Linked DNA regions of Cricetulus griseus. The protein of the gene in region 1 purifies or fractionates together with the protein of each later gene. This does not show direct contact. Links are inferred from orthologs where the notes say so. Each region holds a gene or a part of one and is shown on either strand. Other genes may lie near its edges.

Region 1 (5,061 bases):
TTCAAGAAGAAGTATGATGTTTGGGAGCTGGAAAAAAGGCTCATCAGTTAAAAGCACTTCCCGCTCTTCCAGAGGGCCAGAGCCACCCTCACAACCACCTATCAATCCGGATCCAGGGGATCTGGTGTCCTCTTCTGACTTCCGTGGACACCCATATACATGGGGCATACTTTCACACAAATAACTTTCACACATATAACACATATAACTTTCACACATATAGCATAAATGTCAATCTTTTTAAAAGTAGGTCTGTAGAGAGAGCTCAGCAGATTGCTTGCTGCTCCTCCTGGTGACCTGTTTGGCTCAGGGTGTCCACACCAGGCAGCTCACAATTGCCTGTAAGTCCAGCTCCAAGAGATCAGGCCTCCACATACCCACATAAATAAAAATGTAAAGTATGGGGTTTAGGATATGTCCCCTAACAAACTGAAAATGACTAGCTCACAACTTCTCAAAGACCCTCTTAAGGCAAGGATTGAGCAAAGGAAAACTGACTGGACAGGCATCCTTCCTTACTGCCAGAGCCACTGGGGCCCAGTTGTTTTCAGCTAGTTTGTTTGTTTTTCAACAGAGTCAGATAAAAATCCTTTATTAGGGAAGGGGCTCAAATGAGAAAGTTATCAACAAGCGGTATCCCGGGAGGAGTCAGCGCGCCCTGCCGAGAGCAGGGAGACCTGTGCAACTGGGAGCAGCTCCCCTCTTTCAGGGGGAGGGGTAGCTGGAGGTGAGACTGGACGGCAGGTTGGGAGGGCTCTGGGCAGCCCCATGTAGATGAAGCTGCCAGAGAGGATGAAAGAGCTGCACACCAGGAAAGAGGTACTGAAGTCTCCTGTCTTATCCCTTAGGAAACCTGAGAAGAGGGATAAAGGAATTTAGAGGCCCGGCATCCCAGGGGCAGAAGTCTTAAGCGAATCTCCAGACTCTGCCCTTACCTGACAGGGGAGGGCCCAGGAGTCCCCCGAGGCTCATCAGCATCATCACCAGCCCTGTAGCCTGCACCACACCTCCAATGCCCACCAGTCCCGGGAGCACACCGAAAACCAGTGGCGCATAACTCCCGGCGCTCAGGCCGTAGGCTCCAGCCGCAGCTAGCAGGGGAGCCCCCCAACCCTCCTCTGTCCCCGCAGTGGGCACTAGTCCCACTGCCAGTACCCCTAACCCAGTCAGAGACCCAAACACAACCAGAAGACGCGGAAGGGGCACCCAGCCCTGGTCTGCTAGCCATCCGCTGACCAGTCGGGCACTCGCATCTCCCACTGCAGCGACAGCCACCACCAACGCTGCCCCGTAACCCCCCATGCCCTGGTCTAAAGCGTGAGGACCCAAATGCACATAGGGGACGAAGTATCCGCCCCCAATCAAGGCGGTGCCCAAAGCAAAGATTGAAAAGGCTCGGCGCCTGAAGAGACCTAGGCCAAGGGCAGCTAAGGGGGTTCGAGGTGGGGCCAAGGGGTCACCAGAGAGAGCTAAGGGTCGTAGCAAGGCGCCACAGGGTGTGAGGTGGAGGGTGACAGCGCCAAGGAGGAGTAAGGCACCCCGCCAGCCGAAAGTATCAAGGAGGAACTGCAAGGCAGGTGCCAGGAGCAACGAGGATGCCCCATTACCGGTGAGCGCCAACCCTACCGCCAAGACCCGACGGCGGGAGAAGTACCGAGAGAGGGTACCCAGGGCAGGGGCGAACACCAGGGCCCAGCCGGAGCCTGCAAATGGATAGGACAGGATGAGGGTATGAGGATGGTTTTCCTAGCATTCCTTAGCCCTGCTTCTCTTCTCCACGCGTTCTCTCTCTCTCTCTCTCTCTCTCTCTCTCTCTCTCTCTCTCTCTCTCTCTCTCTCTCTCTCTCTCTCTCTCTCTCTCTCTCTCTCTCCTCCTGGTTTGGTCCCCTACCCCACAAGAAGCTCCTGTCCCCATTATAACCCCTGTAGCATACGGGCATCCCATTCTTCTTACCAGCGAGGAGACCCAGGCCGAGGTAGAGGTGTAGCAGGCTTCGGGCGAAAGCCGAGAAGACCAAGCCAAGCGAGGTTAGGACGCCCCCAACCATCACCACGGGGCGTGCCCCCCAGCGAGTGCTCAGGGCGCTGCCCACTGGGCCTAGAAGGGGGCGGAGTCAACGAAGACATGCCCCAGGACCCCCAAACTATCTCCAACACTTCTCATTGGCTGTTTTGTCTGGCCTGGTAACTCCTCCCTTTGACCTCAAGACCCACTCTTCTAGAAATTGGTTCCACCAGTAGCTCTCAGGTTGTCTGGTAATCAAGTCTCCTGTCTCCCATCACTACATTCACGGCCTCTCCACCCGGTTCCCGCCTCCCACCTCGAGGGCCCCCCCTCACTGGCTGCCTGCTGCACGGCCAAGGCCAGGGCGCTGACCCACGCAGTGTCCTGGGCGCTTCGTTCAAAGTGCTCCGCGAGGTCGGGGAGGGCAAGGCCCAGGGAGCGTAAGAGCCCGTAGGAGAGCCCGTTCACGGCGAATGCTGCGGCCGCCACCACCCAGCCCCAGCCCCCGTCCGGGGGTCCGGCTGGCTTGGGGGTCATCGCCGTCTGCTGGGGTGGGGAAACACCTGTGAATGAAGTCTCCACGCCTGGGCCTCCGCTAGGGAGCTGACGTCCCTGAGATCCAGCCTCGGGCTGCTCGCCCAGGGTGGGCACGTCGCCCCGAGCATGGGCGCGGGAACCAGGCCTGGGGATAGAAGTCCTGGGTGCGCGTGAGGTCCTGGAATGGGGGGCAGCAGGATCCCCCGGGCCGGGGGCTCCTCCTTCCCAAACCCTCTTTCTCTTACCCGACCTCTCCCGGCGTTGGGGGTAGGGAAAGGGCGAAGGTGGGTTCAGCCGGATTTTCCCCGCGGGTTCCAGGCAGGCAGGATTCTGCAGAGCAGCCAGCCAGTGCAGAGATGGAGCCCAACTTGGGCCGGCTCTCTCCGTAAACAGAGATCACCACAGGGGCCCGAGCCACCTGGGACGCGGGTGGGGGTGGGGGTGTGAGTGCTGAGGGCGGGCAAGCGAGACAGCCAATCCACCAAGCCTGGGCCGAGGCCTGACGCCGAGTCCCACGGGGATTGAATTATCCACACACAACCCCCGGTCCTGGATAGGGAACCGCGCGGAATGAGTGTGCCGGGTGGCCGCGCCCCGCCCCTCCCCGCGCCTCCCGGCGCCGCGGGGCTCACGCCCACGCACCTGCAGCCGGCTGCGCACGCAAGAAGAGTCGGGTTGCAATCCCTGCTCGGCCAGCTGCCCACGCGTGAAAATAGCGGTGGGTGATCTCCAAAGCCTAAAAGAGTTCTTCGATTCTCGGGTTGTTGGGGAGGATCCTGTAAACCTCCGACATCTAATCACTGGCCTCCAATGGACAACACTAGCAAACCCTCTGGGGAAGATAATTTCCAGTACCAAGCCCGGAGATGTTCCAGGCAATCTTTACACACTTTGTCATTTCATCTTTACAATATCCCTATGACGAAGGTGTTATCCCCATTTTACAAATGGAGTAACTGATGGTTTGGGTTAGGTGACCTCCCCAAATCGTTCAGTTTCAAAAAAAGAAAGTGGAAATATTTGAATTTAGGTTTAGCTCACAGTGGGAGGATACAGGGCGAAAAGACCAACGAGTGATAACAGCCTGCCACAGTCGAGGGAAATAGCCTGGAGACAGATTGATGTGAACTGCCCTGGAAAGGGCAGCGTCTATGCAGAACCACAGTGCGTAGGATTCTAAACCAAGGGTGGCTGGGAATAATTCAGAGAAATTAAGCCAGATGTCTTTTGTTTTGTTTGTTAGATTGCTGAAGACTCTAGCGAGCATCCCTCTTTACAGGTCACTATTGCTTTTCTTCAGCCATTTGACTCAATAGGTGTGCTCTTTGGTTTAATCATTAAACAATGCCATTGAAGTTTCAGCAATTTGCTGGTTGGAGCACATATCAACCCATAGCCACAGGATGGCAGTGTTTCCTAATGAATGAGAAAGCATCTACCTAGAAAGGAAAGAAAAGTATAGCTCAAAAGTTGTGATGCTGGAAGGCTAAAGAGTGCACAGATTTTCAGAGGCTCACCATTGTGGGTAAGGCCCACAATCGTCAAGGGCAAGCCAAGCTACTTTTCCATCCAACCCTCCCACCCCGGGGAATTAGCTTCTTCCCTACTCCGGTCTACACTTCTCAATTCTAGGTTTTAGCATACATTGTTTTTCTTTGATGAAATGCCCTCGTACAGGAGGATTTGAAGGTTTGAGGTCCTGCTACATACACTTTAGGAAAGTGCCCTCACTGGTTTCACCAGCCAGGGGCTGACTTTGTGAAAGTCACTGAGGTGGTGGAGCCTGCAGGTCACCAGGGAGGCAGGGAACTGGTTTTCCGAGAAGGCTAGTGAGGAACCAGGCCAACCGAAAGGAATTGCTTTCTCCATGGTGAAGTAGAAATATAGGCAGGGAGGAGACGGGGGCCTCTAGGTCTGGGCTGTACCAGGTAATGCTGTGCACTTTGGCAGGATTTGAGCCCCAGAAGCCTGTAACAGCACATTCCTCTTCTACCCTATGTTCTTAGCCAGAGTTGTGTGTTGATCGTGGAGTTAATGCAGCTTTGGAAAAATGGACTCCCAACAAGAAATACTGAGCCTGACTTTCAGCTCTATGTCTTAGCTATCTGATGGCAAACAAGTATCTGTTTCCTCATTTTTAAAAATGGTTATAATAATAGTTACTTGATAGGATTGTTAAAAGGATTAAATTTGTCATGGTGTATGCATGTGAAAGAGACTTAGAACAGTGTCTGAATGTGATGTGTGCTAGCCCCATGGTTACCACAGTAACTCAGGGCAATTTAACTGGACTCTATAGCATTGTTTCCCTTTGCCAGGTGGCTACTTCAGACTCAAACTGATCTAGTAAGTTCAAGGTCAATGAAACACATTAATCCAGTGAGTTTTAGTAGAATCACATGGGTTAGAAAATATGAATATTTATAGGAAAATTAAATGGAAATCGTGACACCTTTTCTTTGGGGTGGGGGTGGGCTCATGAAGCCCAGGCTGACCCCAAGTTCACTTCGTAGCCAAGG
Region 2 (5,039 bases), on another chromosome or scaffold:
ACATAATGTTTCTTTTACAAAGATATTTTTAAAATTTTTTATTTTTTTGGCTTTTCGAGACAGGTTTTCTCTGTGGCTTTGGAGGTGTCCTGGAACTACCCCTTGTAGATCAGGCTGGTCTCCAACTCACAAAGATCCACCTGCCTCTGCCTCCTGAATGCTGGGATTAAAGGCATGCCCCACCAACGCCCAGTGACACCCCTCCTCCTTTTCTAATTAACAAATAAAAAATATCTTTGTAAACTGGGCATTGGTGGCGCACACCTTTAATCTCAGCACTCAGGAGGCAGAGGCAGGTGGATCTGTGAGTTTGAGGCCAGGCTGGTCTACAGAGTGAGTTCCAGTACAGCCTCCAAAGACAGAGAAACCCTGCCTTGAAAAAACAAAACAAAAAGTGAGAGGGGCTGCTGAGATGACTCCGAAGGCAAGGGCACCCCAATGCCAAGCCTGACACCCTGAGTTCAATTCCTAGAAGCCACATGGTAGAAGAAAAACTACTCTCAAGTTGTTCTCTGATGTTCAGGAGCATACTGTAGTATCCAGACATGATCGAACACATGTATGTACATAAATACACAAAATAAATAAAACAATTTAAAAAATAAGAAAAACAAAAATACTTGAAGAAGCCAGTAATTCACTCCTCGAGCCTTACTGACTTCATTCCAGGACTGAAAAGTGCTTATGTCCTTCAGCTCCTAACATACGTGCACTCTCTCTCGCTCACTCTCTCACTCTCTTGGTCAGTGGTTCCAAATTCTCCAGGGCACACCCAGTTATCTCACAGAGAACTGCCTTAAGAAAACAGGCTGTGGAGTCAGACTAACTTCAAACTTTCTGCTCTACTACTAAACATTCGGGCAATTGCTTAACTGAAACCCCAACTTCCTCTTTGAAAAATCAGAGAAAATAAACTCTTAACTCATCAGGCTACACGCTGCATAGTACAGTAGCTGGCACAGAATGTAAGTACAGGAACTTATACCCAGTTTATTATTGAAGTTTGCCCCCAAAGTCGTCTTTAAGCAGAACAGCTATTTCTAAGTAGTTAAAAGGATAAACACAAAAACCATCCAGTAAACCTTACAGTATTTTTTTTAGCAAAGAATAAGATGAATCTCATTCAAATAGTGGATATAGAAAGTTCTGTAGAACTGATGACGGGGTGTGTGTGTGTGTGTGTGTGTGTGTGTGTATGCGATTTGCCTACATCTATGTCTGTACCCAGAAAGGCCAGAAGAGGGCATCAAATAGGATTCCCTGGGCCTTAAGTTACAGAGCTACCATGTGGATGTTGAAAATTGAACCTGGGTCCTCTGCAAGAGCAGCTTAATTGCTGAAAATATGGCCACTTTGGAGGTTAGCTTCAAAGTAGATGCAGATGCCAGGCCTTTCAAATGCATTATTTGTTTCATAGCTTTCTACTGAGTGGGGGCTGTGAAGAAGTCCATGTCCTAACCCTAACCCTTTGTCATTGGACACAATCATTTACAGCTTCATCTGCTTCCTGGTTTCCTCCCCTTAGAAGCCAGGTGTGGATATTAACTTCAACCACATGCCGGCAGAGTAGCTACATTCTCAGGGTCTTATGTGATGTTAGCCTGCTTTGACTCACACGGAGAATTTTCAAAACCACTAAGGCCCAGACTGACATCTATGCTAAATAAATCAGGTTTTCCTAGGGCAAGACCTGGGTATCAGTCTCTTAAAACTCTCCTATAATTTATAACTGCTGCCAAGTGGAGCACCAAACTTCTAGGACTGACTCAAACAACACTGGAGAGTGAATGGTGGAGCTGCTTCTTTCCAGGCAGAAGGTCCAGAGTTCCACACTCAGAACTGAGGGGACAGAAATGGAGAGGGAAGAAAATAGGAAAGGAGAAGGGGGAAAGGGAGAGAGGGGGAGGGGAGAAGGGAAGGAGAGAAAATGAGACGGAGGACTGGAAGTGGGCTAGAAAGAGGAAACACTCAGAAGCAAATGACGGTGGATGAAAGTAGAAGAATCAGGCGTACCTAGGAAGGGCGCGGGGGGGGAGGTGGGGGGTGTCCATGTCCCGGACAATTATTTCTAAGTCTTATGATGGAAACCAGATGTGGAGCAAGAAATTCCACGGACTAGCGGAATGCAAAAGGGTTCACCCAAGTTGTGTGTGTATCCTTTTGATTATTTTCCTTCTTTATTGCATGTTCGACCAGTCGACATGCTCATGAAAATACTCTATAATAGCTGAAAACCTTCTGTAGAAGAATGTCTGGCCTCAGTTTCCAGTGGGCCAGTCCCTCAACTGCTTGAGCGGTTAGTGATAACTTAAATGAGAGCTAACCCTTCAGACACAGGAACTTGCACTGAAAAGCAGGTTACACGGACCGCTTGCAACACAGAAAATATAAACAGGTGAGCTAAGACGGCAAACCCGATCTTGACTTTGGGCAATGTTTTTCCACCACATAAATCCTTCTGTTGACATGCCTTAAGCACGCAACCCAACACCCTCGGGAAAAAAAAAATGTTTTGTTTTGATAAAGACCCTAGTGTAAAGACAAGACCCACGAATAATTCCCATATCTGGGCTTGACTGAGTTGGCTGAGTGTGGTGAATTTTACCATCTGCTCTAAAAAACATCCTCAAAGCCAACACCTGCCAGGAAGAAAGGTGATCCGAGGGCCTCGCCGTGGCCTCTAGTGAAGGGAGTTGGCCTCGGGAATGTGGACTCATAATGCCACAGTAGCAGAAGCCAAGCCCCAGCATCCCCCGCACGAACCCACGCACTCTATTAGTCCACTTGGTAGGAAAAACCCGACCCTGTCCCAGTACCAGCTGCGGGATCAAACTGGGCTAGAATGGGACCAGATCACCCCTAGACCCGGCGGACCTGGAGCCACCCCTGCTCCCACGTTTCCTCCTTAACCAGCGCCCAGCCAATGAGAGGCCACCTCCGCTCAGCTCCGCAGCCTCCTGCGCCCGCATCCCCGCAGCCCCTGCGCGAGCGGCAAAGGATGCCCTCGGGCTGGAGGGTCGCGGCTACTGCGACGCTACCCGTACGCATAGAGTCCTCCCCGGTGCCGCCCCGCTACCCCAGGTACCTGTGGGGTCGCCTTCTGCCCAATACGGGCGCGTCGCCGCCAGAAAGCACAGAAGCAGGAGCCGGCAGTCGGGCGCCACAAGCGCCCTCAGGCCAGTGAGTGAGCGCATGACGCGGGCGAGTCGGTTCTGGAGGTCTCTGTTGCGCCCTTGGCTTGCTGCGATCCGTCTCCTATCTGTCGCTGCGCGCACTTGCTGGTAACCGGGCGCCCACTGCCAGTCCCGGGGCCAGGACACGCGAGAAAAAGCGGAGTGGGAGGGGCCCGACCGCCCTGGCCTCCTCCCCCGAGACGCTCCCAGCGCACCCGAGGCCGGCCCAGCCTTGCGCCGGCCCTTCATCAATTATGCAGCCCGCTGCAGGCGCGCCCGGATGTGCTGTGTAACCCCTGCAGCAGCATCCTCTCCCGCCCCCACCCTCTCGACTTGCCCAGGTTGGGGAGGCAGCTAGCTAATCGAGCCAGCCAGGTGATGTCTAGCCCATCACCTCCGGGACGTGTTCCAACTCCCTACAGACTGTTCTTTGCATCCGTTGGGTGGGTTCGCTTATTTACTTTGATGAGACAGGTGGAAATGACAGGATATTTCTGCTCCTGTACATCTTTAGATTTATTTTTGCCAAACCCGAGGCGCTATCCTGTGTCCCTGAGCCCGGAACTTAATGTTCCTGGGAGCTTCCTATCAGTCATTCACACCCTCCCCCAATCTCTGAAGGTTTAGCTAGTTCCCTCCGGATTAAGGTTTCAGAGTCCCAAGGCCCCGTAGTGTGTCTCCTTTTGTTTGCTCGTGGCAACAGTTTTCCTGGCGCCAAAGAGCTCAAGAAACAAAAACTAAGTAAAGGGGTACTATGTAAACTGCAGAAGGCCATTCACCTTTGTCAAGCATTGTGGAAAACAATGTTATCTCTTATCTGTGAGGGACCTGAGGTTGGAATTTTCTTAAGTCTTTCACCAAATGAATTAAGATAATTGAAAACCATTGTTTTGCTGGTCAGGGGAGAAGGATCCTTATAGTCTAACGCAGCAGCCTTACTTAGCAGTCCTTACTGTAGGGACCTCCAGGTAAAACTGGAGGAAGGAATTTCAGAATGAGACGGTGAGAAGCACAGCTGGAGTTAATTACAAAGGAGTTTTGCTCAGGGTAGATTTAAATTCGAGGGTTAATACAAAGGATAAAACGCACCCGACACCGTGGGGAGTGGGTGGTAGTTCAGAGCTGTGTCTTAACATTAACCATCCGTACCATTTTGGTGACTATCAAGTTACAGCTCAAAGGACTACTAAAGAAACATTTTTTTTTTCTTTTATCCCGCTTTTTTGTTAGGTGAAATTAGAGGGTGGCTCCAATGGTGCCTTAGGTGGAATTACAATCTGATAAGATTCAAAGATAGACTGCAAGCCGTCTACTGGATAGTTAGATCACTTCTTTTTGCTGTAAATAGGGTTTCATGTGAAATTGCTGGAAAACTTCAGGTTTATACATGGAAAATGAGAAAGGCCATATACACTGAGGCGTTGAAGGGTGATGCATTACTTCTTTTACATTTTTATTTGAGGTGTAGGAAAGGCCCTAGCAGGCCCAGGCCTGACAAACATGGTTCTGGCAACCTTGCCCATCCTCCTTCCCTCTCCCTTGTAAACCGTAGATTACAACCCTAAAGCAAGCCCCCAAAACCTATTCCCTTGTTTAGCCAATTTCTCCTTCTGAGGCTGACTATCAAGGTCCAGCTATCAAAGTATTGACATCCAGCAATCAAAAGCCCCCTTTGGTTCACCTAATTAATATGTCCAATGGAAAAAAAAAAAAAAAAAAAAAAAAAAAACGGGCGTTGGTGGCGCATGCATCCCAGCACTCAGGAGGCAGAGGCAGGCAGATCACTGTGAGTTCGAGGCCAGCCTAGTCTAAAGAGTGAGTTCCAGAACAGCCTCCAAAACAATACAGAGAAACCCTGTCTTGAAA

Evidence for each region. The genes of interacting proteins can lie anywhere in the genome.
Region 2: the proteins of Slc16a11 (region 1) and Emb purify together in Homo sapiens (co-immunoprecipitation; 3 studies listed by BioGRID and IntAct, counting the BioPlex papers as one, with this or other methods). This does not show direct contact. The link is inferred for Cricetulus griseus from reciprocal best matches to the Homo sapiens genes SLC16A11 and EMB.

What each region holds. Positions count from the first base shown.
Region 1 is NC_048600.1:84,036,777-84,041,837, reverse strand, and holds Slc16a11 (monocarboxylate transporter 11), read right to left. Parts: upstream 3,069-5,061; 5' UTR 2,788-3,068; intron 2,688-2,787; 5' UTR 2,543-2,687; coding exon 2,341-2,542; intron 2,099-2,340; coding exon 1,955-2,098; intron 1,704-1,954; coding exon 936-1,703; intron 854-935; coding exon 624-853; 3' UTR 577-623; downstream 1-576. UniProt on the Homo sapiens protein: Proton-linked monocarboxylate transporter. It catalyzes the transport of pyruvate across the plasma membrane.
Region 2 is NC_048595.1:334,932,835-334,937,873, reverse strand, and holds the start of Emb (embigin), read right to left. Parts: upstream 3,195-5,039; coding exon 3,086-3,194; intron 1-3,085. UniProt on the Homo sapiens protein: Plays a role in the outgrowth of motoneurons and in the formation of neuromuscular junctions.